3 linked regions of the Stegostoma tigrinum genome follow. The protein of the gene in region 3 interacts with the protein of the main gene of each other region in a biochemical or structural test. Links are inferred from orthologs where the notes say so. Each region holds a gene or a part of one and is shown on either strand. Other genes may lie near its edges.

Region 1 (11,132 bases), on a different chromosome or scaffold from region 3:
GGACATGTCATCTAGAGAATGGGAGGGGGAGTGGAAATGGTTTGCGACTGGGAGGTGCAGTTATTTGTTGCGAACTGAGCGGAGGTGTTCTGCAAAGCGGTCCCCAAGCCTCCGCTTGGTTTCCCCAATGTAGAGGAAGCCGCACCGGGTACAGTGGATGCAGTATACCACATTGGCAGATGTGCAGGTGAACCTCTGCTTTATGTGGAGTGTCATCTTGGGGCCTGGGATAGGGGTGAGGGAGGAGGTGTGGGGACAAGTGTAGCATTTCCTGCGGTTGCAGGGGAAGGTGCCGGGTGTGGTGGGGTTGGAGGGCAGTGTGGAGCGAACAAGGGAGTCACGGAGAGAGTGGTCTCTCCGGAAAGCAGACAGGGGTGGGGATGGAAAAATGTCTTGGGTGGTGGGGTCGGATTGTAAATGGCGGAAGTGTCGGAGGATGATGCGTTGTATCCGGAGGTTGGTAGGGTGGTGTGTGAGAACGAGGGGGATCCTCTTAGGGCGGTTGTGGCGGGGGCGGGGTGTGAGGGATGTGTTGCGGGAAATACGGGAGACGCAGTCAAGGGCGTTCTCGATCACTGTGGGGGGAAAGTTGCGGTCCTTAAAGAACTTGGACATCTGGGATGTGCGGGAGTGGCATGTCTTATCGTGGGAGCAGATGCGGCGGAGGCGGAGGAATTGGGAATAGGGGATGGAATTTTTGCAGGAGGGTGGGTGGGAGGAGGTGTATTCTAGGTAGCTGTGGGAGTCGGTGGGCTTGAAATGGACATCAGTTACAAGCTGGTTGCCTGAGATGGAGACTGAGAGGTCCAGGAAGGTGAGGGATGTGCTGGAGATGGCCCAGGTGAACTCAAGGTTGGGGTGGAAGGTGTTGGTGAAGTGGATGAACTGTTTGAGACAACCCTGGTAATTGTAGACCAGTGAGCCTTACCTCAGTTGTTGGTCAATTGTTGGAAAAGGTTATAAGGGATAGGATTTATAATCATCTAGAAAAGAATAAATTGATTAGGGTTAGTCAGCACGGTTTTGTGAAGGGAAGGTCGTGCCTCACAAACCTTATTGAGTTCTTTGAGAAGGTGACCAAACAGGTAGATGAGAGTAAACCGATTGTGGTGTATATGGATTTCAGCAAGGCGTTCGATAAGGTTCCCCACAGTAGGCTATTGTACAAAATGCGGAAGAATGGGATTGTGGGAGATATAGCAATTTGGATTGGAACTTGGCTTGCTGAAAGAAGACAGAGGGTGGTAGTTGATGGGAAATGTTCATCCTGGAGAGCAGTTACTAGTGGTGTACCGCAAGGGTCGGTGTTGGGTCCACTGCTGTTTGTCATTTTTATAAATCACCTGGATGAGGGCGTAGAAGGATGGGTTAGTAAATTTGCAGACGACACTAAGGTCGGTGGAGTTGTGGATAGTGACGAAGGATGCTGTCGGTTGCAGACAGACATAGATAAGCTGCAGAACTGGCCTGAGAGGTGGCAAATGGAGTTTAATGCAGACAAGTGTGAGGTGATGCACTTTGGTAGGAGTAACCAGAAGGCAAAGTACAGGGCGAATGGTAAGATTCTTAGTGTAGTTGAGCACAGAGATCTTGGTGTTCATGTACACAGATCGTTGAAAGTTGCCACCCTGGTTGACAGGGCTGTTAAGAAGGCATACAGTGTTTTAGCTTTTATTAATAGAGGGATCGAGTTCCAGAACCACGAGGTTATGGTGAAACTGTACAAAACTCTGGTGCGGCCGCACTTGGAGCATTGTGTACAGTTTTGGTCACCGCATTATAAGAAGGATGTGGAAGCTTTGGAAAGGGTGCAGAGGAGATTTACTAGGATGTTGCCCTGGTATGGTGGGAAGGTCTTACAAGGAAAGGCTGAGGGACTTGAGGCTGTTTTCATTAGAGAGAAGAAGGTTGAGAGGTGACTTAATAGAAACATATAAAATAATCAGCGGGTTAGATAGGATGGATAGACAGAGGCTTTTTCCTAGGATGGTGACGGCGAGCACGAGGGGGCATAGCTTTAAATTGAGGGGTGAAAGATATAGGACAGATGTCAGAGGTAGTTTCTTTGCTCAGAGAGTAGTCAGGGAATGGAACGCTTTGCCTGCAACGGTAGTAGATTCTCCAACTTTAGGTATATTTATGTTGTCATTGGATAAACATATGGACGTACATGGAATAGTGTAGGTTAGCTGGGCTTGAGATCAGTATGACAGGTCAGCACAACATCGAGGGCCGAAGGGCCTGTACTGTGCTGTCATGTTCTACGTTCTATGTTAACAATTCCTGTCCCTGCTGTATCCGTGGGTCAGTTTTTGTCCAGTGTGTGCAGGAGAGCTTCCTGACACAGTATGTAGATAGGCCAACAAGGGGCGAAGCCACGTTAGATTTGGTACTGGGTAATGAGCCTGGCCAGGTGTTATTGTATGCCAACTCTCCCTTTCCTGTGAAAACTGTTAACCATGCATTCGCATTATCAGCTTCCTGTCTCCTCTGCAACTTTGGTATTGTTTGTGTCTGTTACACCATGTCAAAATAACCTACACCAAAATTGTGAATGACATCTTCCATGATTTTGGATTTATAGCACCAACATTCTGCATCATATCTGTTTCATGTGGCGTTTGCTGTGCAATATTCCTCTAATATTTCGTCTTAGTTTCCAAATGTGTGTGTTCTTAGTGTAGCTGTTATATTATGACATAGTTCAGTTCTTGGATAAAGTTGCACATTTCCACTTTGAGTTTTCTAAAGTTCAATCCTTGGACCTCTTCTGCTTCTAAGCTTAAAAAGTTGCTTACCCTTGTGTCATTTGTGGCTCTGGCTTCTCTATTATTAAGGTCTGGATTCACCAAGTCACACTTGATTACTTGAACATGATTACGTGGTACTCTAATCCTTCACTGAGGGATGCCTACACATTTGATCATGCTGTTTGTTCCTTCAGATAATAAAACGTGTGACACTACTTGGAAGAAAGGCAGTTATCCTTTTTGTCCACATCACTATGTATTCTTCAGTCAACATAACTTAAAAACGGGTTATCTGTTCATTATCACATTCCTGTTTACACTATCTTGCTGTATATATAATAGCCCACGTTTCCTACATAACTGAAATTCAGAAAAGTGCTTGATTAACTGTAAAGAGCTTTAAACTATCTGGTGATCCTGAAAGGAACCAAATAAATGTACGTTCTTTTCTTCACAATGACATTTTCAGGCATGTGATCAAAACTTAGACTGGACAATTGACTTCATATCTGTCAATTCTGTTCATATTTCAATGACTTATTTAGATCTTGAATGAGTCACACTTTCTATGACCTGAATAGTAGGAATGCCCATGCCGTTGTTTTTGGCATTTGAAGTAAGCTTTGGTGACTTGTCTCTGATTTCATCATTGTTATTGGCCAGAACTCGGAATTGAAAAGAAATCTGCAACTTCAGCATTGTTGTCCACATCCTCAGTATTACTTCTCTCTAAGTTGCTGCGTTACCAAAGCCCTCAAAATATTTTCTACCTCTGCGCATGATTATTTTGACATTTGATTGCCTGAAATGCCATCGTCTATTAACTACAAATTCCTTGTTGTCTCAAGTGCAATAATCTGCGTCCATGTTTGCACAGAGTCCAAATCTCCTATCATCTTATCATCCATATTTTCCAACATTATCTCCTGTCCTGATGCATTTTGTTTATAATTTTGTCCTTGCCTGCAGTGCCGCTCCATTTCTGTATGTGTTAGCTATACAACCTCTAACAGCCATACAGTGCATATTTCAGTGTATCTGTTTCAGCCTCCAATGTGGCTAAATCCCTCAATCTTTGTTTGGTGGCAGGGCTGTCTGTTTCCGCAGGTCATTTCTCAAAGCCATTTCCCCATGTCATTTCTGCACTGTTTTATTTTTCTACCTGCCTTTAAAAGAAATCTAACCCATTCCAACCTGGCTTTCCATCGTCATCTTTCCCCATGTTGAAACAACTGGCAACAGCTTCCTCCTCCTTGGATAGTTTAGACAACTAAAGTTGTTGGTGTGTGAGAAAATATATCTTTGCATAAAGTTGGTCATGCATAAGACAGCCAATTTTAAAAAATCTTCTATTAGTATTGCAGTACTGTATTACCTTCTGCCAGTTTTCCAACAGATATGAGTTATAGTTAACAGTATATCTGTCTTAATTGGCTATTATACTGAACTTTAAATAAAACTGTATTTCTTGAGCTTTCCCCTGACTGAAAATAGATCTTTCATGGCTGTGTTTAAAGCAGCTGTATGTTTTTGCTCACAGAGCAGCTATAAAATTGGATTTAGTGTAATCATTAAATTTGTTTTGGTCTTAGCTTATGGAAGTAGGGTTTTAGAAACCAGCTCTCGTATTTAGACAAGTTACATCAATATTTCACAGATTCTGTAAGCTCTCCAGAGCTTTTGTAATTGCCTTTATATTCTGTCTTTCAAAATATTCTGCTGTCGTGTGATGAGATTTATTGTGGTAAATGGAGGCTGCTTTGGTCAGCTGCATGTGCTTTCCCGCTGGGGTTGCTCCCTTTGATGGAAAAGGAGCAGCTGTGAAGGCACTGTTTCAGACACTTGCTGCCTTTGGGAAAAAAATTTCTGCTGTGCATTGGAAGGGGAGTTGCATCATGTGACTGCTACCACCCTACCCCATGTTATACTGTGTAGTACTACTGATTGCCTTTATCCAATCATGCCTGGAATGCTGCCTGTCACTTGGGCTATTTCTGCTATCTGTCGCTGTCAAGCTTCAGTGCTAACCGTTTGGCAGATGGGACAGTTTTTTCTCGAGCTTACCTCTTTGCTTTCTTTAAATATGCTTTTGGCAGTGTGATTTCCTCTTCTCGTATTTTAAACTGGGCTGTTGGTGTTAAACTATGGCCCATCGACTGCGCCTTTACTTTGGATCAAATAGGAGTCACACTGATCCAGAATCGGAGATGTTAGATGAAGAGAGAGAAAATGACATCTATATGACATTCCACACTTTGCCAAGGAGGAATGCCCCTCATCCTTTCCAGGATATGCCTAGGCCTGTGTCCGATGCTGTGCTGCCTTTACAGGATCAAACCTCCTTGAGTCGCAGCTCTTCCATGTTCATTCCTCAGTTGCACAGTTCTGAGTCACGACCCACCAGGAGTTCCTCGATGCAGATATCGTTGCAGCGCAACCCTATGAATGGATATGGTGATACCAGTGTCTCGGAGTCTCTGGAACAGCCGTTACCAGACTTTGGAATGGAAGTTGGCAACAATGATGGCTTATTTTCTAGGAGCCATTCTCTTCCAAGTGTCCCTCGAAACACAGATGATCCCCCATCCTATAATATGGCTGCATCACAACAGGTTATTGGAAATGTTCCATCTAATTGTACAATAAGCTCTCTTTTTCCTGTGGAACAAAAGCCATGCAGTATTGGTCAAGATGAATTAACAAATGGGTCTCCCTCTGATCTAAAGGTTGGAGATGTACCTGTTCAACACTGCTCGCCAACAGAAATAGATCAAATGCAGTTTTCATCTTTCACTCGTAATGGACGTCCAAAAGCTCATGCCTCTGTAACTAGGCGTTGGTCTTTACAACATCAGCCGTACATGGCGGGGAACATGGGGAAATCTTGTTTTGTCTTCCAGCTCCAGCAACAGTGCAAAGGTGTCCAGGACTCCTGGATGGATTTCAAAAGGGGACGAGCATGCACAAAGGATGAGCAAGCAGCTAGGCATCCACATGTACGACTGGGGCGAAGTGCCTCTGCCACCTTTCCAGTTAAGGGAAATGCTGAGTGTTTTGGTGCTGCTGAGAGAAGGAAGCAACTCGCAGGAACACTAACTGGGGAAAACAATTCAGACATGCTTTGCGGCACTTATGGCACTTTGCCGCAAACACAGTCCTGTAAGTTTAAAATCAGACAGGAGCGAAATCAGAGGCAACCACACTTTCGAATTCTTTTAACCCGAGGATCTGAAGAGCAGAATGAAGGCTCAATAAGGGATAATGGTGGTTGTGTTCAGACAAGAATGAATTCAATCACCGGAGAGGACTCTGTGGTATGTAACCAGTTCAAAAGTGTATCTGTCACTTAGACTGTGTGTGGGGGTGCTATTTTGAGGCTAAAAGTGGGTTGGGTGAGGGGTTGGATTTATGGTGTGGGACCTAAATACAATTGGTTTCAGAGGTGAGACTGCATAAAATGAAGTTCTGACAATGCTATAACTTAAAGATGAATGGTTTCTGGTTTATTTTCTTAAATTGTGGTTTGTCTGTCTGAGGAGTGAATCTGCAGGAGTTGTCTTAATATGTTTCCAAACAAGATGTGTATAGACAAGTAAGCTATGTCACCAGTTTAGAAAGCAGGCTTGAAATCACACAAGTTGGTGTTTAATGCCTTTGTGTGCTCTTTTGAAATATGGCGTAGAAACAGGTTTCCTCCCTCAAGTATAAATCTGCACCACACAACAAATTTGTTTGTGTTTTTCAGTTTGGTAGAAGAAACTGAAAGAAGCATTTTTGTTATGAACTGTTTAAATAGTTTGCAGCTGGAAGTTGGCTGAATGTAAAGCACCAAGCATATTCTCTCTTTTCCCATCGTTTGTGTTTACTGTGTCTGATGGAAGACATGACTTATGGTCTGTCTTAGCAGGTGTCATACTTTTACTTGAGACGAATAAGAGAATTAATTTTACTGTCTACTGGCTCTGGCCCAGAGACAATTTGGGGCTGCAGATGTTCCTTCCGCTATTCCTGTAAAAGAAAAAATGAAACGAAAATATTATTTGAGCGATGTTTTTCCCTTTGCAAGTTCATAAAAAGCAAAGTTGAACAGGGTGTATATCAGGCATGCAATTCAATCCCCCAGTTCACACTCAGTGAATTCAGTTAAACTTAAGTTTTGTAGTGCTCAGTGGCAAGCACTTAGAAAAAATGGAAACAATATGAACTAAAGCAAAAAAGTCAAGGAAGAGAGATTTTGTGTCCAGAGGACGCTCATAGTCCTAACTCAATTAAATTGAATTAATAGTCATTACATAATCTTAATTCTGTGAATGTTTGATCTTTTAAAAATAGTATTTTGTACTTCTACTTCTGTCTAGTCACATGTATTACGGGCACAGTCCGTTTGTGCTGTTGTGTAACCCTCCTTTCTTAACTGGAAGCTAATGTGTTGGATCAGCTTGAGATTCTGTTAGGAGCCATCTAAATCCAGCAGAGGAAACATTGCCAGAGGAAACACTTCTGCATGGCCAATCAACAACATGCCTTCCAGATCCTGGAGTCTCCAACGTTGCGCATAAGCTAATAAAAACTTACAGCTCCTATTGGAACAGTGGAGTTATGTGTGAAACATGACTGCCTCTCCATAAGCAGCAGAACTGCTGCTGATCCAGAACAAAGGAGAGATGAACATAGTTTCAAGGCTTAAAAAGAGTAGCACTACATTGTGTATTCTTTGAAGTGCAAATTGAAACGTATTTCATACAGAGTATACTCCCCAGCCGTGCCAGCCCGCTGCCAAAACGTTTCATCTTCAAAATGCTCCAGAACGGCCTTTCTTAGCTTGTCAAATATGTGATGGAAGCAAGTATTTAATTCACAGTCAAAAATTTGTGAACAAGTACAATGTACACTTTAAAGAATATTTAAAAGCTGAATTACAGAGTGATTGAGTCACAGAGATATACAGCATGGAAATAGACCCTTTGGGCCAACTCAACCATACTGACCAGATATACTAAATCTAGTCCCAATTGCCTGCATTTGGCCTATATCCCTCTAAACCTTTCCCGCACGTGTACCCATCCAGATACCTTTTAATTGTTGTAATTGTACCAGCCTCCACCACTTCCACTGGCAGCTCATTCTATATATGCAACACTATCTGTGTAAAAAAAAAGTTGCCTCTTAGGCCCCTTTTATATCTTTCTCCTCTCACCTTCAACCTATGCCCTCTAATTTTGGTCTCCCCCACTCTGGAGAAAAGTCCTTGCCTATTTACTCTATCCATGCCTATCATTTTATAAATCTTTGAGATTTCCCCCTCAGCCTCCGACACTCTCAAGAAAATAGCCCCAGCCTACTCAGCCTCCTCCTATAGCTCAAACTTTCCAACCCTTTCAATGTCCTCGTAAAACTTTTCTGAACTCTTTCTAGTTTCACAACATCCTTCCTTTAGGAGGGGGACCAGAAGTGAATGCAGTGCTCCAAAAGTGGCTGAACTAATGTCCTGTACAGCCACAACATGACCTCCCAACTCTGTACTCAGTGCACTATCAACCTGTGACCTATAAGTAACATGCAACTCATCCACTTGGCAAAAAAAACAGCCAAAGCAGTGCAGTTGCTAGAAATCAGAAACTGAAACAGAAATTGCTGTTGAAACACATCTGGCCACATCTGTGGAGAGAAATATTTCAAGCCCAGTGACCCTTCAGGGAGTCCTGTGGTCCTGGGTGAATTAAAATCATGAAAGATGAAACTTCATTTGGAATCCACTTAACGTTAGTCTGAGCTGGAGACAGTCACTAAGGAATGTGATGTGGCTGTGGAAATGATTTTTGGACAATACCTTGTGAAAAATCAGTACTGCAACGAAAGTAGTAACGGTGACCCAGAAAAAGGATTAGAATGGAAATCTTGAAGGAGAGAGGCGCAGAACTTCTTTAAGCTGGACACTTCTGGAAGAGATGTGGCAACAAGTTAAAACACTAAACACAAAAACTCAAAGCTTGAGGATGCTTGAAATCAGAAACCAAAACAGTAATTGTTAGAAAAACTCAGCAGGTCTGGCAGCATCTGTGGTGAGAAATCAGAGTCACCATTTTGGATCCCAGTGGCTCTTCTTCAGGGTCCCTCAGATTTGTGACTGTTTCCATGGTGAGTGAGCACAGCACAAACTCGTGGAGGTGAGTTTGGGTTCCGGTGGTGCCTGTTTCCAGTGCAGATTCATCGAGGTGGCAGCGGAGGTGGGTTTGGGCCCAGTTCAAGACCTGGCTGTGCCAGCAGCAGTTATATCAGAAACTTGGGCCTGAAGTGGACTCATGGTGATGGCGAAGTTGAGTTTGGACTGTGCAGTAGCCAGTGACATTGGTGGCACCTGCTATGCCGAGGTCCAGCGAGGACTCATAGTGCTGAGGATGTTGGAGGTGAGATGGTGCTGAAAATTGGCAACCTTTATTCTAGTGGCCATGGTGTGGTGCGGCCGTCCGTCTGACGAAGGGCCTAGACCCAAAACGTCAGCTTTTGTGCTCCTGAGATGCTGCTTGGCCTGCTTCATCCAGCTTCACACTTTGTTATCTTGGATTCTCCAGCATCTGCAGTTCCCATTATCACTCATCATTAAAACTTGTTTTTCTGAGTGTAAACAAAAGCCTATGACAGGTCTGTTCTTTAAGTTCTGGCCTGTTTTACATCCCTGACTTTGACTGACTTCTGGTGGTTGTGTTTTCAACCTGGGCCTCAAACACTGGCAGTATCCGTGCTAAACATCTCACTACTTAAGAGGCATTGTTGGTGGGAGATGGTGTCTACACAGCATTAACCTCAGTCTCTGGATCACTGGGAAAGTGATGCAGAAAGTGAGGTTAATGCTGTGTGGACATGGGTGCAGGTCCCATCGTGCTAAATTAGAGAATTGCAGAGTGATTTTGGCATTCATACCCACTTAGAAAAGACCATAAGATGCACCAGCAGAAGGAGGCCATTTCAGCTCATCAAGTCTGCTCCGTCTTTCAATGAGAATCCAAACTCCATTTTCCAACCTTTTCAATGTGATCCTTGATTCCCTTGCTGATGAGAAATCTATCCACCTCTGCCTTGAATATAAGTAATGACCTAGCCTCAGCAGCCTGAGAGAACTTGGGAAATAAACAATCAAGTCTTGAAAAGAGTCCACCTTACAGAAGAGGTGGTGGTGTTGGAGGTCTTAAAATACATGAAGGTAAATAAATCCCTGGGACATGATTGGGTGTGTCCCAATACATTGTTGGAAGTTAGGGAAGTGATTGTTGGGATATTTGTATCATCAGCAGCCACGGGTGAAGTGCCAGAAGACTGTGAGCGGTGGATAAGGTTGTGGCATTACTTAAAGTCTGTACAAAAAGGCAGGAAACTAAAGACTGGTGAGCCTGATGTCAGTGATAGGAGGGCATTCTGAGAGGCAGGCTGTGTATGCATTTGGAAAAGCAAGAACTGGTCAGCGATAGCATGGCCTTATGCATCGGAAATTGTATCTCAGTTTTTTTGAAGAAGTGACTGAGAAGTTAGATTGCAGAGTGGTAGATGTCTGCATGGACTTTAGCAAGGCTTTTGACATGGTTCCACATGGCAGACTAGTTAGTAAGTTCAGATCACGTAGGATTCAGGGAGAGCTTGTCAATTGGATTCAAAATTGACTTGACGGTAGGAGACAGAGCATTTGTGCTTCGGACTGAAGGCCTTTGATTAGCAGTGTGTGGTAAGGATTGGTGCTGGGCCCACTGCAGCTTGTAATTTATATAAACTATTTGGATGAGAATATAAGATGTATCGTTAGGAAGTTTGTGGATGACACCAAAATGTTGGTATAGTGGACAGGGAGAAAGTTATCCATAAGCACAACAGCATCTTGATCAAGTGGGCCAATGGGTTGAAAAGTGGCAGGCTAATTTAAATAAATCCAAGGTGTTGCATTTTGGAAAGACAAACCAGGGCAGAACTTAGACAGTTAATGGTGGGGCCCAGGGGAAGGTTGCCAAACAGAGATCTTGGAGTCCAAGTACATAGCTCCTTGAAAGTGGCATCACAGGCAGCCAGAGTGGCGAAGGTGGCTTTTGGCATGCTTGCCTTCGTTGGTCAGAGTATTGAGTATAGGAATTTGGGTGTCATATCTCAGCTGTACAAGACGTTTGTGAGGCCACCTTTTGGAGTACAGCATACAGTTCTGGTTGCCCTGCTATAGGAAGGATGTCATTAAACTGTAGAAAAGATTTACAAGGATGTTGCCCAAGACTGGACGGTGAAGTTCTAAGGAGAGACTGGGGTTTTCTTTTTGTCTGGAGCATAGGAGGCTGAGGGGTGGGTTGGGGGGGGAGGGGTCGGTGGTGGGGGGGGGTGACCTTTATAGGAGTTTGTAAGATCATG
Region 2 (11,132 bases), on a different chromosome or scaffold from region 3:
CCTGGAAAATGGGGGAAAGGGCGTACCAAATGCCACCCTCGCCCTGACGGCTACCTTTGTGCGCGGCTGCATCAAGCTGTGCGTAGATCCTCAGTACGCAAACACCGAGTGTCACTATTTACTGAGATTCTACCTGTCCCCGGTGTTGCGAAGGATGGGCCTGGCCTCGTTGCCGCGGAATGCTCCGAGTAGTTGGACGGTTCCCTACCACCTGTCCTTCATGGAGAAATTTTTGAAAGGAAACACCTTTGACCACAAGGCCGTCAGGCAGTGGTCAGCACGTGGTATCCTCGAGATCCTTCGGGAAAAGGAGAGGGTGGATCCTGTCATGTGGTACCCCACGCAGACTGACAAAGTTGTTTGGCAGAATGCCTCATCACCAGAACTTTCAAACAAGCACAAGGACATTGCTTGGGTGGCAGTGAGAGGGGCTCTGCCAGTGAGATCCTTTATGCATGCCCGGAATCTCTGCGCCACCACACGCTGCCCTCAAGGTGGCTGCGGGGGGGGAAGAGACTGTCGATCACCTACTTCTGGAATGTGCCTATGCGCAGGAGGTCTGGAGGGGGATGCAGTGGTATTTGTCGAGGTTCGTCCCGAGCAGCTCCGTGACGCGGGACTCCGTGCTCTACTGGCTGTTTCCCGGGACGCACACCAAGACCAACATCAACTGCGCCTGGAGGACCATCAATGCGGTGAAAGACGCTCTTTGGTCTGCCCGCTGAAAGAACTGACCCTGACCGAATGTTGCAGACTGGCGCACTCCAAGGTCCAGGACTACGTGCTGAGGGACACGCTAAAGCTTAGGGCAGCCGCTGCCAAGGCACGGTGGGGAAAGACCACGGTATGAAACCCCTCGTCCAGAACAGAAAAAAGGGCCCTATCTGGTAACTGGGCCCAGCTGGCGCCTTCCCCAACTGGTCAGGGGGCCAAGTGGGACTGTGCGGGGTGACGACTGCCGGGGTATTTTCTTTGCTTTGTTTTTTTCTTCTTTGTTTGTTTTTTTCCTTTAGTTGGTGTACGTACCCCCTGGGTAATCCGGAGCGGCTTGCATGACTGGGTAGATGTATAAATGTTTTATTTTTTGTACATCTTAGGAATAAAGTATATTTTTTCAAATAAAAAAAGTGACGAAACGTCTGAAAACTAACCTTCCAGTTCAGCGAGCAAACTCACATCCAGAACCTCAACCTGAGCTACAAATCTTCTCAAAACTCGCTAACAAAAAGGAACAAAATTTCTCACCCATCCAAAGTTTAGAAGGTGAGAACTGAAAGCTTATACGTACAAAATAAAAATCATACTGGCGTTAACTCCTAAAGGTTCCAAAAACCAGTAGTACAACTGGTGAAAAGTCACTCAACCTGAACCGTGAGTTCTGTTTCTCTCCTTGATACTGTCTGACCTGCTGAGTGCTTTCAGCAGTTTTTGTTTTCTATTTCAGATTTCCACCACCTGCGGGAGCTTGCTTTTATTCTGCGATACCTACCTCTCCTGACATTTCAAGAACCTCTTCAGATGGTCCATGGTGATTGGCAGTGCCATTCTGCAAACGTTCAAGGAGCTCCAGCAAAGCAAAATTTTTCTTTAAGCCCCAGACACCTGAATCACCTGTCAAATGAATTAATATTCAGCCTTTGTCAAATCTTCTGATAATAGTGTAGAATAAAACATCCCTTAAGTCATTGAAAGTGTTTTGGACTGGGAAGAAAAACTGCAGTTATAGTCTAATAATGAAATGAAACTAGGTCCATTCAGGTGAAGATGATCTTGAAAATGCTGAGAGAAAGAAAACCTATACAAGCATGAACAATGGCAAGTTCATCATAACTACAAAAATGGTCTCAACTTGCCAACAAAGACTTATTCAAAGCAGCAAGCACCTTTTTGTCTCATACAACTTACTTCAATCCTGTATGGTAAACTTTTCTAGTGTAACATTTAAAGGAATGATGCATTTATATTGTGCCTCTAAACCCTATGACACTCCAAAGCATTTTATAGTCAATGAAATACTTTTGAAGAAGTGTATAATCATAGTTGTAAATGCAGGAAATGCTGTAGTTAACTTACATACAGCAAACTCCATAAACAATAATGTAGTAATGACCAGTTTATCTGTCATGGTGATATTGGTTGTCAGTAAATATTAGCCAGCACAATTGGCCAGCATTCCTTTGTTCCTCCTCAAGTAATATAGTGTGATTAAACGTCAACAGCTTCCATTACAAAGGACCAAGTTTACTGCCATGACAGCAGTACAACTTCTCAAGACGTCTCAACTGACAGTAAGCGTATTCTTTCCTTTCCATCATACAATGTCAGTCCCACCATTCTTCTGTAGTTTTGCCTGCCAATTACTATTCTGCAATGTTTTATTTAGAGCCTAACTAACCATAGCATAATGTCACCATATTAGGAGTATCTGGCAATTTGTTGTAGCAGAGTTAGGTAATGTTCAATTAAATTTGCATACTGATGTAAACTTGACAATCTGTAAAAAATAAATCATAAAAATTTTAAACTGAAGCATATGGTATGATATCTAAAAATATTCAAAAATAATTAGAAACATAAATTTCCAGACCAACCTAATTCAGTCACCTGTCGGTCAAATGGACAACGTATTGCTCTCCCCTGTAGTGGAAGCCGGGTGAGACAATCGTGGCAGACTGTGTGACCACAAAGGAGCAAGCGAGGTACTTTGTCTCCCTGCAGAGAGAATACGTCTTCACAAACTCCACATTCCAGAACCTAAAAATGAAAAGACTCAGAAGGGTAAATGCACTACATGATATACCACAGAAGTAAACCAACCAAAAATAATTCCCAGATGCTGGATTGCTAGTTTTAGGGGAAGCTGCAGTGGATTCCCTTTCAGGACTCCCATTCAATTTTTATTCAATAATCTATACCGAAAGCTCACATTGAACTGTTGGAGAAGGAAAGCAGCTTTTTTTATTATTGTCAACATAATCAAAAGGTCAAACAAACAGTCCTATTCTCCCTAGAGCTCTTTGCTGGAGTGTGAATTTCAGCATCATTGGCTGTCCTCAGTACTGTGACCCAAGTGTTGGCTATTTATTCAAGAGTTTGACAATGAATGTTGAAAGACTATTCAACCAAACATGCTGGGTATGGAAAGTCTAAGTTATAAAGAAAGGCTGGGACCTTTTTTCCCACTGGAGCACAGGCAGTTGAGAGGTAAACTTATGGACGTAATGAGAGGTATACGTAAAGTTAATGGCAGGCGTCTTTTCCCCAGGATGCAGGATTTCAAAACTAGGGATCATAATTTTAAGGTTAGAACAGAGAGATTCACATCAGACATGGGGCAGTTTTTTTTCTGCACAGACGGGTGATTCATGTGTGGAATGAGTTTCCTGCAGAAGTGGTGGACGTCAGTGCAGTTATAAAATTTAAAAGATACTTACATAACTACACGAATATGAAAGGTTTGGAGTGTTATCGCCCAGGAGCAGGCAGCTGGGACTAGTTTAATTTGGGATTATGTTCAGCACGGATGGTTGGACCGAAGGGTCCATTTCGCTGCTATATAACATAACAACATCACAACCAAACTCAATGACATTTTCACTTCACCTCAACCTGGTAAGTGAAAGTGTGATCTGGAGTGAAAAGAAATTGACTGACATCAGTACTTCTGGGTTAGGCAGGGGGAAATTTTAATACTACTACTTTTATTCCAACTAGCCTTTCCTGACACTGGATAGTCCCAAAGCCACTCAGTTTTTAACATTCCAAGTAAAGTGGCTATCTTTAAACTGCCGTCAAAATATTACTGTCTTAGTCACCAATTTTGTTACAATTTCTCTGTAATTTTTTTTATTTCCAAAGTAGTTCTCTATTTCACTTATTATAGAAACACTAAAAATAATCAATGAAGACATGCTGCAAATTATATATTATAAACGTATAAAATAAACCAGCAATCCTCAACTACATACAGCTTTTGCTGAATTACGTTGTAGCTTCAGAATGAAAATTACAAATGGAAATTTTTTAAAATTTAAATATTAGACCTTTCATTAATATAGCTTGTCTAAAACATTTTAAAAAAACTGACTTTTGTATATTTATGAGATAATACATGTCTAGTCTACGATAGATGATTCCATCAATAACATTAGCTGAAACTTAGTTTTGTTGTGCACAAAACTGGATAAATCATCAACAAATGTTGGGTTTAAGAATAAATATTTTTAAGTCTCTCTTTTTAAGATACCATAGAACGAAAGTATTTTTCAGGAGAATACTTATTGGAATGTCAGCGCTTGGAAAACAGTACATAAATTTATGAATTTGGCATGTCAAATTCCAATTTTCTCATGTGAGATAATGCATTATCACGTGCACAAGGCAAAACATCAACACAGTGGTGATGTCACAGGATGACCAAAATGCCTGTGCAACTACAAAAAGATAAACTTTCCTCTTTATCCATCATGACCTTTCACACCCTTTGGTATAATTGACATCATTATCCTCTTTCACTTTGATGGAGCAAAACCAGCATGGTTCCATTCTTGCGTATCCATGCAAAGCCAGAGAATCAACTACAATGTTTTCTATTCCATTCCATTATTTGGGATGCCCAAAGCTCCATCATTGCCCTCATCTGTTTCACATCTACAAACTCTTTCTTGACAACATCAAATGGAAACTTCACGTTTATGCTGATACTGCCTGCTCCACGTCTCTTGGTCCCCTCTGTGGGTATGTTCAACATGTCAGATGAGCAGCAGTTGAAATATTGAGAAGAGTGCAGCCATCATCTTTAGTCCCTACACAAACTCCTTTCCTTGCCATCAACCCCATCCTTTTTGCTCGTCCAAGATTAAAACAGATGCTTCACAATCTACTTTACCTAGAGATGGTTTTTGAATGCATCCTTTACCACCTGTTCCCTCCCCAGTGACAATGCTCAATCTGCCCTTATTTCAGTTCATCAGTTATCAGTTTGTTTTATCAGTAAACTCAAAAATGTTACATTTGGTTCTCTCAGCCAAGTCATATATATAATGTTGTGAACAGCTGGTGCCCAAACAGATTATGCCATTGACTTGTTACTTGGAAAAACTGAGGAGACAACAGGCAAATTACTCACTGCAAAATGCCAAGCCTCTGACATCAGCAATGACATTACATATCAAGAGGCAATGGTTAATTTTTTTTGTTGGAAATGGTCCTTACCTTGCATTTGTCTCACACCAAACATTACGTATTATTTATCGAGCCAAGCCTACACAGGCAATAATCAGAGAATATTCCCACCTCTGACCTCATGATTGAGCCAAGATCATTGATAAAGCAGCTGAAGATGAGTCAATTTATCACATTATCCCAAGGAACTGGAATGGTTCTTGATGCACTGTAGTACTGTCTCTACCTCTAGGTCATAAAGCCTGGGTTCAAATCCCGCCACCAGTGTGTCTGAAAGGTTGGTTGAAAATATTTACCCTCAGGAACTTGGCTCCTGTGGTAAAGTGGTAGTGGTCCTATCTCTGAACAGGTTGCTTAGAAAATATCCAGCCCGAGGAATAAAACATTGGAGCAGGAGTAGACCATTCAGTAAGGCCATTGAACTCAAAATTCTAATCCCTAACCATTGATCCCGTTAGCCACAACAGCATATTTACCTCCTTCTTGAAAATAAAATGTTTTAGCTTCAACCACTTTCTGTGGTAGTGAATTCCACAGGCTCGCCACTCTCTGGGGTGAAGAAATTCCTCATCTCAGCCCTTAAAGGTTTGCCTCTTATCCATAAAGAACTCCAGACCCCTGGTTCTGGAGTTCTCGTCATCAAGAATACCTTTCCTGCACCTATCTTGCTTAGTGATGTTCTTGAACTGAGATGATTGGCTTCTTAACAACTCCAACTACCTTCCTTTATTCTCGGGGTGACTCCTACGAGTGGAGAGTCTTCTGGTCCCCACTGACAAGTGCTGCACACAACGCTATTCTATTGCTTTGCTAACAATCTACAATAAACTGAGTGAGTGATGTTTGACTGGGTTGATTTGGATTTGTCCAGTGTTTTTGAGTACGCAGAAGCCATGTAGAGGACGGGGGGGCAGGGGGCAGGGAGACCAGGCCTGAAAACTAGCCACAGATCGAGCCCAGTCTGAAACTGGCCCGAATGCTTCGTTTTTGGGGGGGCGCACTCACCTTGACCGAGCAGCCGTTGACGGCACGCAGACTGCGAGAGCCACTGTCAGGCCCAGGCCCAAGTCCTGGCCCCAGCGGTGTCAGCAACAACTTCAACGGAGCCGCCGCCATTGTGGATCACACCAGCTCCCAAACCGCGAAAAAGGGGGGGGGATCATTAATATCTTAAATCGGTAAAATCGTAATAATCCCAGGTGAAATCACAAAAAAGCGTTATATTACGAAGCGATTAATAAACATCAAATTTATGTGTAGCTAATCAATTCTTCTGAAACTTATGCGTTGGTCTAATTTTTGTCTAAATCAAATGTCCTTCTTCTTGTCCATTATGGTGTTGTCCGGATGGTGCCGTGCGATATACTGCGCATGCTCACATTGAGACAAGTGGAAGGCCATATTTGGGACAAGACGTTGGCAACGGAGCAATGCTTTGACAGTAGGAAAGGCTTTTCGGTTCGATATCTGGGTAGCGTTCGTTATTCTTCAAAAGAAAATGTATTTTACCAGGTTGATACCAGAAGTGGGAAGAACACGGAAACCACCTGTAAAGGAGATTGTATGTCAACCGGGAAAGACGAGAGTTTAACCTAGTGAAAGAAGAACGAAGTAATGGGAGTTGATCAGACGGCTCATCAACACAAATGAGTTCAACAGAATAATTAGGCTTGAGGACAGACACGTCTTCATTTCGTTCACATATAGTTAATCTTCCAGAAAGAAACCTCTTTCATACCAGCTAATTGCTATCTTAACGTACCCACTCTTCTCCACGAGTCTGCACCCATGTATTCTGTATACAGAAGAAATAATTGTCATCTCTAAAATCGGTTTTTATAATAATTAATTGTGGTTACTTAACATTTAATGTAATTAAACATTCTAAGTGAACACAATTAATTGTAAAAGCTAATTTTAGAAATGATATTTAATGCAATTAAACATTCCAAAGCGTTTCACTGGAGTACGGCTTATTTCCAATCATACTTCCACAGTTTGAAGTAATATTTATCTTAATTTTGCAAAGCCCAGATCTAGCCTCTTTCCACACCAATAACCTTTTTCACATATTTCAGACACCCGGCAGCAGAGATCAACTTCACCACTGCATACTTTCTGCACTTCAGTTATGTGTTGGTGAGCAAAACAAGACTATTTGAATACATGCAGAAACTGTGGTGTACCTACACTAGATAGGCTGCGGTGGTTCAGGAATACAGCTCCTCACCACCTTCTAAAGCAAATTAAAGAGAGACACAACAAATGCTGGCCTGCAGTGACAATCATTTCTCAATGACAATTTTTTAAAAAAAGTTTATCAATCATCATATTTTTGGCATCCCCATTACTTCGTTTTTGCATTGCTCATATTGACCAGAAAGAGCAGTTTTATCACTATTTCTCCTGATGTATTAGCTAGTCGCTATGTAGTTCAACATTCTAACATTTATTTGCTTGCTGTATACACAGATTGTACATGCTTAATTTTCAGTCAGTTTGGGTTGTGGCATTCTTAAGATCATAAGATGTAAAAGCAGAAGTGGATCATTCAGCCCGTTGAATCTATTCCACTATTCAATGAAATCGTGGCTGATCTGATAATCCTCAACTCCACTTCCCTGCCTTTAACTCCTAGGCCTTGATTAAAAATCTCTCTATCTCATCCTTGAATGAACTTAATTACCTAGCCTTGACAGCTTTCTACAGTAAAGAATTCCACAAATTCACTACCCATTGGAGAGAAGAAATTCCTCCTCATTTCTATCTTAAAAGAGGCAACCCTTTGTTCGGAGATTATGCCCTATAGTCCTCGACTGTCCTATAAGGAGAACCAACCTTTCCACATCTAACCTGTCAAGTCCCCTAACCTCCAAGTTTCAAGATGGCACTAACACCGGGCTACCTTTTGCAAGCTCTCTGCAACAGATCTTATTCTCACAGTTCTTATAAGTGTTTAGTGCTTTTACACTGAAATTCTAAGTCTGTAAAAATTATTAAATGTTCTCTGAGATCTGCTTACAGGTCTGATGCAAATAATGTTGATCTCGCTTTGTGCATCTCCTGTGCAGCCATAACCTTGAATGCCTTGCTCTGTCTAGGTGCCCTATAATGCTTGCTTGCTATGATCTGCCTGTACTGTTCACAAAACAAAACTTTTCACTGCCCTTAGGGACATGGGACTACAATAAATCAAATCAAAGACTCTAGTCTATTTCAATAAGTAGAATGAGTATAGGCCCAACCCACTAGATCTCTCCTCATCAGACAGCCCCTTTCCACTTTTTAACATAATTCGTCTTGCAAACAGAAGTTTGCAGTTGTCAGCACTATATCTGATCTGTGATTGATCATCTCACATATATATTTTGTCCAAATGACTTTCTTTTGCTATTTCTATCCTGTTACACTGCTTCTCCTGGCTAAGTGTTCTGTTAAATCTGCAGCAAATGCCGAACATTTCTTTACTCAAATGATAACTAACATATGGAATAATTTACCAGCTAATTTATTATTGTCATACATAGTGATAGGGTTGCAGAGAGGAGCTTGGCAGTGCATGATGTCTACAAAATGCACAGAGTTAGCCAGGCTGATATAGCATGCCTAGCCAAACAGCTCAAAAGGTTAAATTAAGCTGCCTACAGAATAGCCAATTTTTAATAGAACTTTATTTGCTTCTACTGTCCATCACATTTATTTTTGGAACAGTCAATGTTTGAAAACCCAATCGTGCAGATAAGTACTCACTTTAAAAATAGCCTTTGTGGGTGAATTGGGTTTGTTTTCCTATATCCTTTCAATGATCTTACTCAAAATAATGAAAACAGATAAGCATTATTTATAGACACATGCAGGATTTCTATTTTTGTACTTCCGTAGGAACTGTGGTCTTTAGTTTTAATCATGTAACAAACTTAGATATCACAGAGTGCTGATGTAAGTATCTGTTGGGTATATTTGATTGTGATAACTAGTTAAATAGATTTGTTCCTTGTATATTATGTATCTGTTTTGATCTAATCTGAACAAATAATAGTGGATTATCTCTTATATAGTGCAGATAAGTGAGATTGACTGATACAACTTAATGTCATTTTACCAAGGAATTCCTCAAAACTTTATACCTGCAAACCTGTTAGGTATACTGTTACTGAAGATTGGTTGACTTCTGTTACAAATTTTGTAGTATTGTGATTGAGGTGTAATTTGAGGCAAATCACAAAGTGAAACCTGACTTGATGGACTATGAGTTTTATTTCTCATTGTTTATCTTGTAGTTCAATCACTGAACATACCCCCAGAGATTGAATATATACTTTCAATAGAAAAACATAAACCTGTATTAAGCAAAAGAAAAACAAACAAATTATGTTACAGAACACAATAATTATTAAGAACAAAGTCCAATATAGCACAAAAACAGGCCCTTTGGCCCCCCCAAACCTGCGCCGATACAATTTGCCTTTCCATATTAAAACTGTTTCCTCTGTATCCCTCTACTACCTTTCTTTTCATGTATTTGTCCAAGTGCTTCTTGAATGTTTACGTGTTGTCTGCTTACACCACTTTCTCTGGTAGTGCATTCCAGGCACTCGCCACCCTTTGTGTGAAAAATGTGCCTTGCACATCTCCTTTAAACTCCATCTCCCCACACCCACTTTGCACCTTGAACCTGTGTCCCCTACTAATTGATCCCTCCACGCTGAGAAAAAGCCTCATACTTCCCACTCTATCCATGCCATTCATAATCTTATAAACTTCCATCAGGTCGCCCCTCAACATCCTGTATTTCAGTGAAAACAAACCCAGTCTATCCAACCTTTCTTCATAGCTAAAATCTCCCATACCAGGCATCATCCTGATAAACCTTTTCAGTACCCTCTCCAAAGCATCCACATCCTTCTGGTAGTGTGGTGACCAGACTGTATGCAATATTCCAAGTGTGGCCTAACTAAAATTCTATAAAGCTGCAGCATAAGTTGTCTACCATTACATTCAGTATCCCTTCCAATGAAGGCAAGCATGCCAGAAGCCTTTTTTACTAACTTATCTATCTGCACTGCCAGCTTCAGTACCACCTTCACATCTTTCTAAACTCTGCCTACATAATCTCTCCTCTATCTCCCACTGGCTGTTGGGAGGCCTGTATTATACCCCCAGCATTGTGATTTCATCTTTGCTATTCCCAATTTCTGTCCATTCTGCCTTGCTGCATGAATCCTCTGATGTATCCTCCCTCAGTATAGCTGTATGAGATACTCCTTCACCAATAATGCAACTCTCCCAACCCCTTTACATTCCTTTCTATCTCACCTGCAACATCCAAATCCTGGGACATTCGGCTGAGTCCTGTCCCTCTTTCAGCCAAGTCTGCATGATGGCAATAGTGTCATAGTCTCAAGTACTAACCAATCATCTGAGTTCATCCACTTTGCCAATTGTATTTCCTGCATTGAAACACATACATTTCACACACTACCTTCCCTGCTCTTTTCAACAGCATTTCTCTGCCTGTTCCTTATCATGTTTGCCCTGGTTACTACCTCTGTCTCAATTTCTGCATTTACTGCCCTACTGGTCTGGTTCCCATTCCCCTGGCCACATTATTTTAAACCTTCCCCAACCACTCTTCCAAGTGCCTCCTAAAACATCAGTTCCGGTCCTGCCCAGGTGTAACCCATTCAGTTCATACAGGTGCCACCTCCCCAGAACTGGTCCCAATGCCCCATGAATCTGAAACCCTCCCCCTCACACCATCTTTTCAGCCATTTGTTCATCCTTTATATCTTGCTGTTTCTAGTCTGACTAGCTTGTGGCACTGGAAGTAATCCTGAGTCTCCGCTGGCTACATCTGCGGGAAGTGCACCCAACTACAGCTCCTTGAAAACCGTGTTAGGGAAATGGAGCTGGAGCTGGATGAACTACGGATCATTCGGGAGGCAGAG
Region 3 (3,600 bases):
AAGTTGGCCCATTCTGATTCGCTGAAAGTTTAAGGTGCTCAGTTACTCTCTACTTTTAATATAGACTTTAAAAGTTTCACAAATTGGTTCACATGCTTGGGTTTCCTTTCTTAAATAACCAAGTGGTCTGGAGTTTTCCCAATCTACATGAATTGTTCAGTTGCGAGAATGAGAGGGGAACAGAGTTTGGGCATTAAGGATTCTCTCCTTCCTGCAAAACCATGGGATGAAAGTCACTTAGTCTGGAGCATTTGGCATTGTTTTTAGGTTTATTACATTTATCAGTACTATAATTTTGCTTATGTCAATTTCGAAGAAGAGAATGAGTATTCCCTCTAGTATCCTAATGAATGTTGTCCCTTCACCAACATATTGCAAACAAATTATCTGGTTAATATTGCCCTGCAGTTTGTAAATTGGCAACCGCCATTTCATACGTTATAAACTACTTCGATTGATCGAGTGGTTTGGGTGTCTTTGAGATCCTGAAAGACCACATCAAGAGTTTTTAGACAAGAAAGGAAAAAAAAACTAAACTTCCTTGGAATATCAAACATGTCTGAAAACGTCTTCACTTCATTCAACAAATTATCCGTGTTGTCTTTTAAAAACATTTAAGTGTTTAAATACAAAGTTCATGAGCAATAGAATAAAAATGTCAGTGAAACCTAATGAACCAAGTCAATTAATCCGAAAATAGACAAACAATGTGCCTAGAAGTGTGTGAGTACAACTTTCTATGTAGTTACCAGACCTTGTAACAATCCCAAAGAAGCCCTGTCTCCTCCCTGCATTTGTGGTTGGTCTACTTCCGTTCCTTTCCCTGTCCGAGTGAGACACGCGTCTGACATTGTACCAGCCCTGGCAACCGGCAGGTCGGCGACAATCGCTGTCCAGATTACCAGAGAAGCAAAAGTGTAAAAAGAATCCAACAAAGAGGGAAAATAAAGTAAAAGGAGGACAGAAACACACAGCGAAAAGTATAACAAATACAAAAGTCAACATCTGACAGCAGGTTCATTCTTCAAGTCCATATGGTGCAACACTTGTTTTTTTCCACAGATTGTACAAAGTGTGGCATCCTGTCTGTTTTGTTATTGTTGTGAGGATAGTCCCCTCAATCACTCCAGAGCTGGAGCAGCTCCAGCTGATAGTGCGCAGCCGATGACGGGATATTGCTCGGTGAGTGAGTGTCAGTCAGTGCGTTGTTGCTGTGAGTGTTACACTACATCAGATACACTGTGACTCACTCTTACTGACATTGTATCCTCACCTCTCTCTATACTCTTATCTCTTCAGGTGTCCGCTTTCCTTTTTAATTATGTTAAGTTCTATGTCTTGATTCTCCATCTTTTCCGTTGTTGTCGGTGTGTTGTGTGTTTGTTTGGGAGGTGGGAGGGGAGCAGAGAGTGAGACACTGTCGTGCTTCAACGCAGTCAGTGTGTGACAGCGAGCCAGCGGTGGAGATGTCGGATGACGACTCGAGGGCCAGCACCAGCTCCTCCTCGTCTTCAAGTTCTTCACAAGCAGCTGAGAAAGAGACGAGAAACAACAACGACAGCATCACCGGCGGCGGCAGCAGCGATAACAACGGCGGCGGCGGGGGTGGTAGCGGCGGAGGGAGCAAGAGGAAAAGAGAAGCGAAGAACAACACCATGAGCAAGAACCCCAAACTGCTCACCACCAGCGCCAAGAGGTGAGTGCGGATGGCGGGGGGGTGGGCACGAGCTCCGGCCGTTGGTCTGGGGTGGGGGGGGGGGGGGGGGGGGAGAGATCATGGGGCTCCTGCTTTGCTTCTCTTCCCCTTCCCCCTTCCCCCCACCCTCCGGGGTTTCCTCCTTTCTCTCACCCGCGACACGCCAGACTTCTTTAACACCAGAGGCTCATTTGCATATTAGCTAAGATCATTTTGTACAAAAAAACAGGGCCGAGTTCTGACTCCATTGCCCCGGGTTTGCATTTCTGACGCCAACTACTTTCCACTGGGCCGGCTTGTGCGGACTCTGCTCGCCGGAGGAGTGCGGCAATCGAGTTGGAAATTTTTCACTGTATTAGCTTCTTGGAGCTGTGAGAGGCGGCCATGTTTTTCCCCCCCTCTCGCTTTCTCGTACAGGCTGAGGGTCAACGTCTTTGCTTTATTTTATTTCCCTAACTTTTTGAAGTCGTGAAATTTCGGAGAATGTGTTGGGAATGTGGCATTCTTAGTTATGCCGTGAGTTTTTAAAATGGTCAATGTTTTATGTTTGACAGAATCCAGAAGGAGCTGGCTGACATCACGTTGGATCCACCACCGAACTGCAGGTTAGTTATTTCTCATAAAATAAATGGTCTGCTTTAATATCTGCGTTAAAAGGGCGATGATAACTGGGCGTGCGATTTTTGTTTTATTTTAAAAATCTGGTTAATGAGTTAAAAGAGTAGTGATTGTTGTATTGAAACAGAAATTGGGATTCAGGCCAATTTTCTATTTGCAGAATCAAATAGAAGTTAAACGTCAGTACTTTAAACTGAAGTTTCTCTAATAAGTTTCAGTTTGGAAGCTTGAAAATTTCCTCCACGTTGAGGGGATTCCCATCAGTACTAAACTTCCTGGAAGATTCTTGTCCATCTGCATTTGGGCTGTTTCACAATTGTGATTTTTTGGGGGGGGGGAGGTACTGGGGTTACTGAAGTGTTCTGGTTGTGTATGTAATAGACGTGCTCATTTTTGATAAGTAAATGTTATGTCCTTCACAGACACCGCAAATGCGAGTAATTTGACTTTAAATGATTTTAATCAGTGCTGATAAGATGGTGACAAGTTCCTATCCAGTGGACAATTTTAAGCCTCACCTTTTCTTTTCAAAACAAAACTCCTTAAATTTTTTTTAACTGCTTTTGCAAGACCAGAATAAGGTCTGCCTACAATTAATTAGTGTACAAAATGTGAGATAGTGATTGGGATGTTGTCACATTTTAGGACAAAATGAGATTTGCAGTTATGATGTCTTCTGGGTTGTAGTTCGTTCTTGTTTTCTTAATGAGAACAAAAATGGCACTCAGTACCTATGTTGTGAAAAACATTTAAAAGTCATTTCCACTTAGTTGGATCACTTCCTGTTCGAGAAACTCTTTCACTTCGCTTATAACTTGAGCATTTATTTAAAACACCACCCTTCTTGGATATTAGTCATTGATTCGTTTGTATATTTGCCCAAGATAGAGCCTACAGTTATGTTGCACATGAAAATTCTTGTGTTTTATGAAGGAGACAATTGGAACAACTCCATGAACTTCGAGTCCAGAAATAAGTTTTCGGGTATTAATTAGATTTCAGAAATGATATTGGCATGTGATGTACTCTGCGCTGTTGGTATTCCATCACAAATTGTGTATGTTTTCTCTCTAATGAGATAGTAAATGGATAAGTGAGTTTAAAACCTGTAACTTAATCAATCCATGTGATAGCATAAGCTGTGAATAAATGGGTGACAGAATCTCAAAATTACTGAAATACTGCACAAAGCTTGAGTTATAACTAAGAAATTTTGAATAATGTTTGAAATGCACTGGAGTGAATGAATGTACAACATAGGCATACTAGCTTTGGCCATAATAGTG

What was found.
Region 1: the proteins of ubiquitin-conjugating enzyme E2 E1 (region 3) and nedd4l form a complex in vitro, tested with the Homo sapiens proteins (2 studies listed by BioGRID). The link is inferred for Stegostoma tigrinum from reciprocal best matches to the Homo sapiens genes UBE2E1 and NEDD4L.
Region 2: the proteins of ubiquitin-conjugating enzyme E2 E1 (region 3) and trim23 form a complex in vitro, tested with the Homo sapiens proteins (4 studies listed by BioGRID, with this or other methods). The link is inferred for Stegostoma tigrinum from reciprocal best matches to the Homo sapiens genes UBE2E1 and TRIM23.

What each region holds. Positions count from the first base shown.
Region 1 is NC_081354.1:152,021,941-152,033,072, reverse strand, and holds the start of nedd4l (E3 ubiquitin-protein ligase NEDD4-like), read left to right. Parts: upstream 1-5,432; 5' UTR 5,433-5,524; coding exon 5,525-6,064; intron 6,065-11,132. UniProt on the Homo sapiens protein: E3 ubiquitin-protein ligase that mediates the polyubiquitination of lysine and cysteine residues on target proteins and is thereby implicated in the regulation of various signaling pathways including autophagy, innate immunity or DNA repair.
Region 2 is NC_081354.1:117,893,101-117,904,232, reverse strand, and holds the start of trim23 (E3 ubiquitin-protein ligase TRIM23), read right to left. Parts: upstream 6,543-11,132; 5' UTR 6,301-6,542; coding exon 6,190-6,300; intron 2,755-6,189; coding exon 2,592-2,754; intron 1,612-2,591; coding exon 1,490-1,611; intron 1-1,489.
Region 3 is NC_081355.1:64,890,467-64,894,066, reverse strand, and holds the start of ubiquitin-conjugating enzyme E2 E1, read left to right. Parts: upstream 1-847; 5' UTR 848-1,466; coding exon 1,467-1,696; intron 1,697-2,250; coding exon 2,251-2,301; intron 2,302-3,600. UniProt on the Homo sapiens protein: Accepts ubiquitin from the E1 complex and catalyzes its covalent attachment to other proteins. Catalyzes the covalent attachment of ISG15 to other proteins. Mediates the selective degradation of short-lived and abnormal proteins.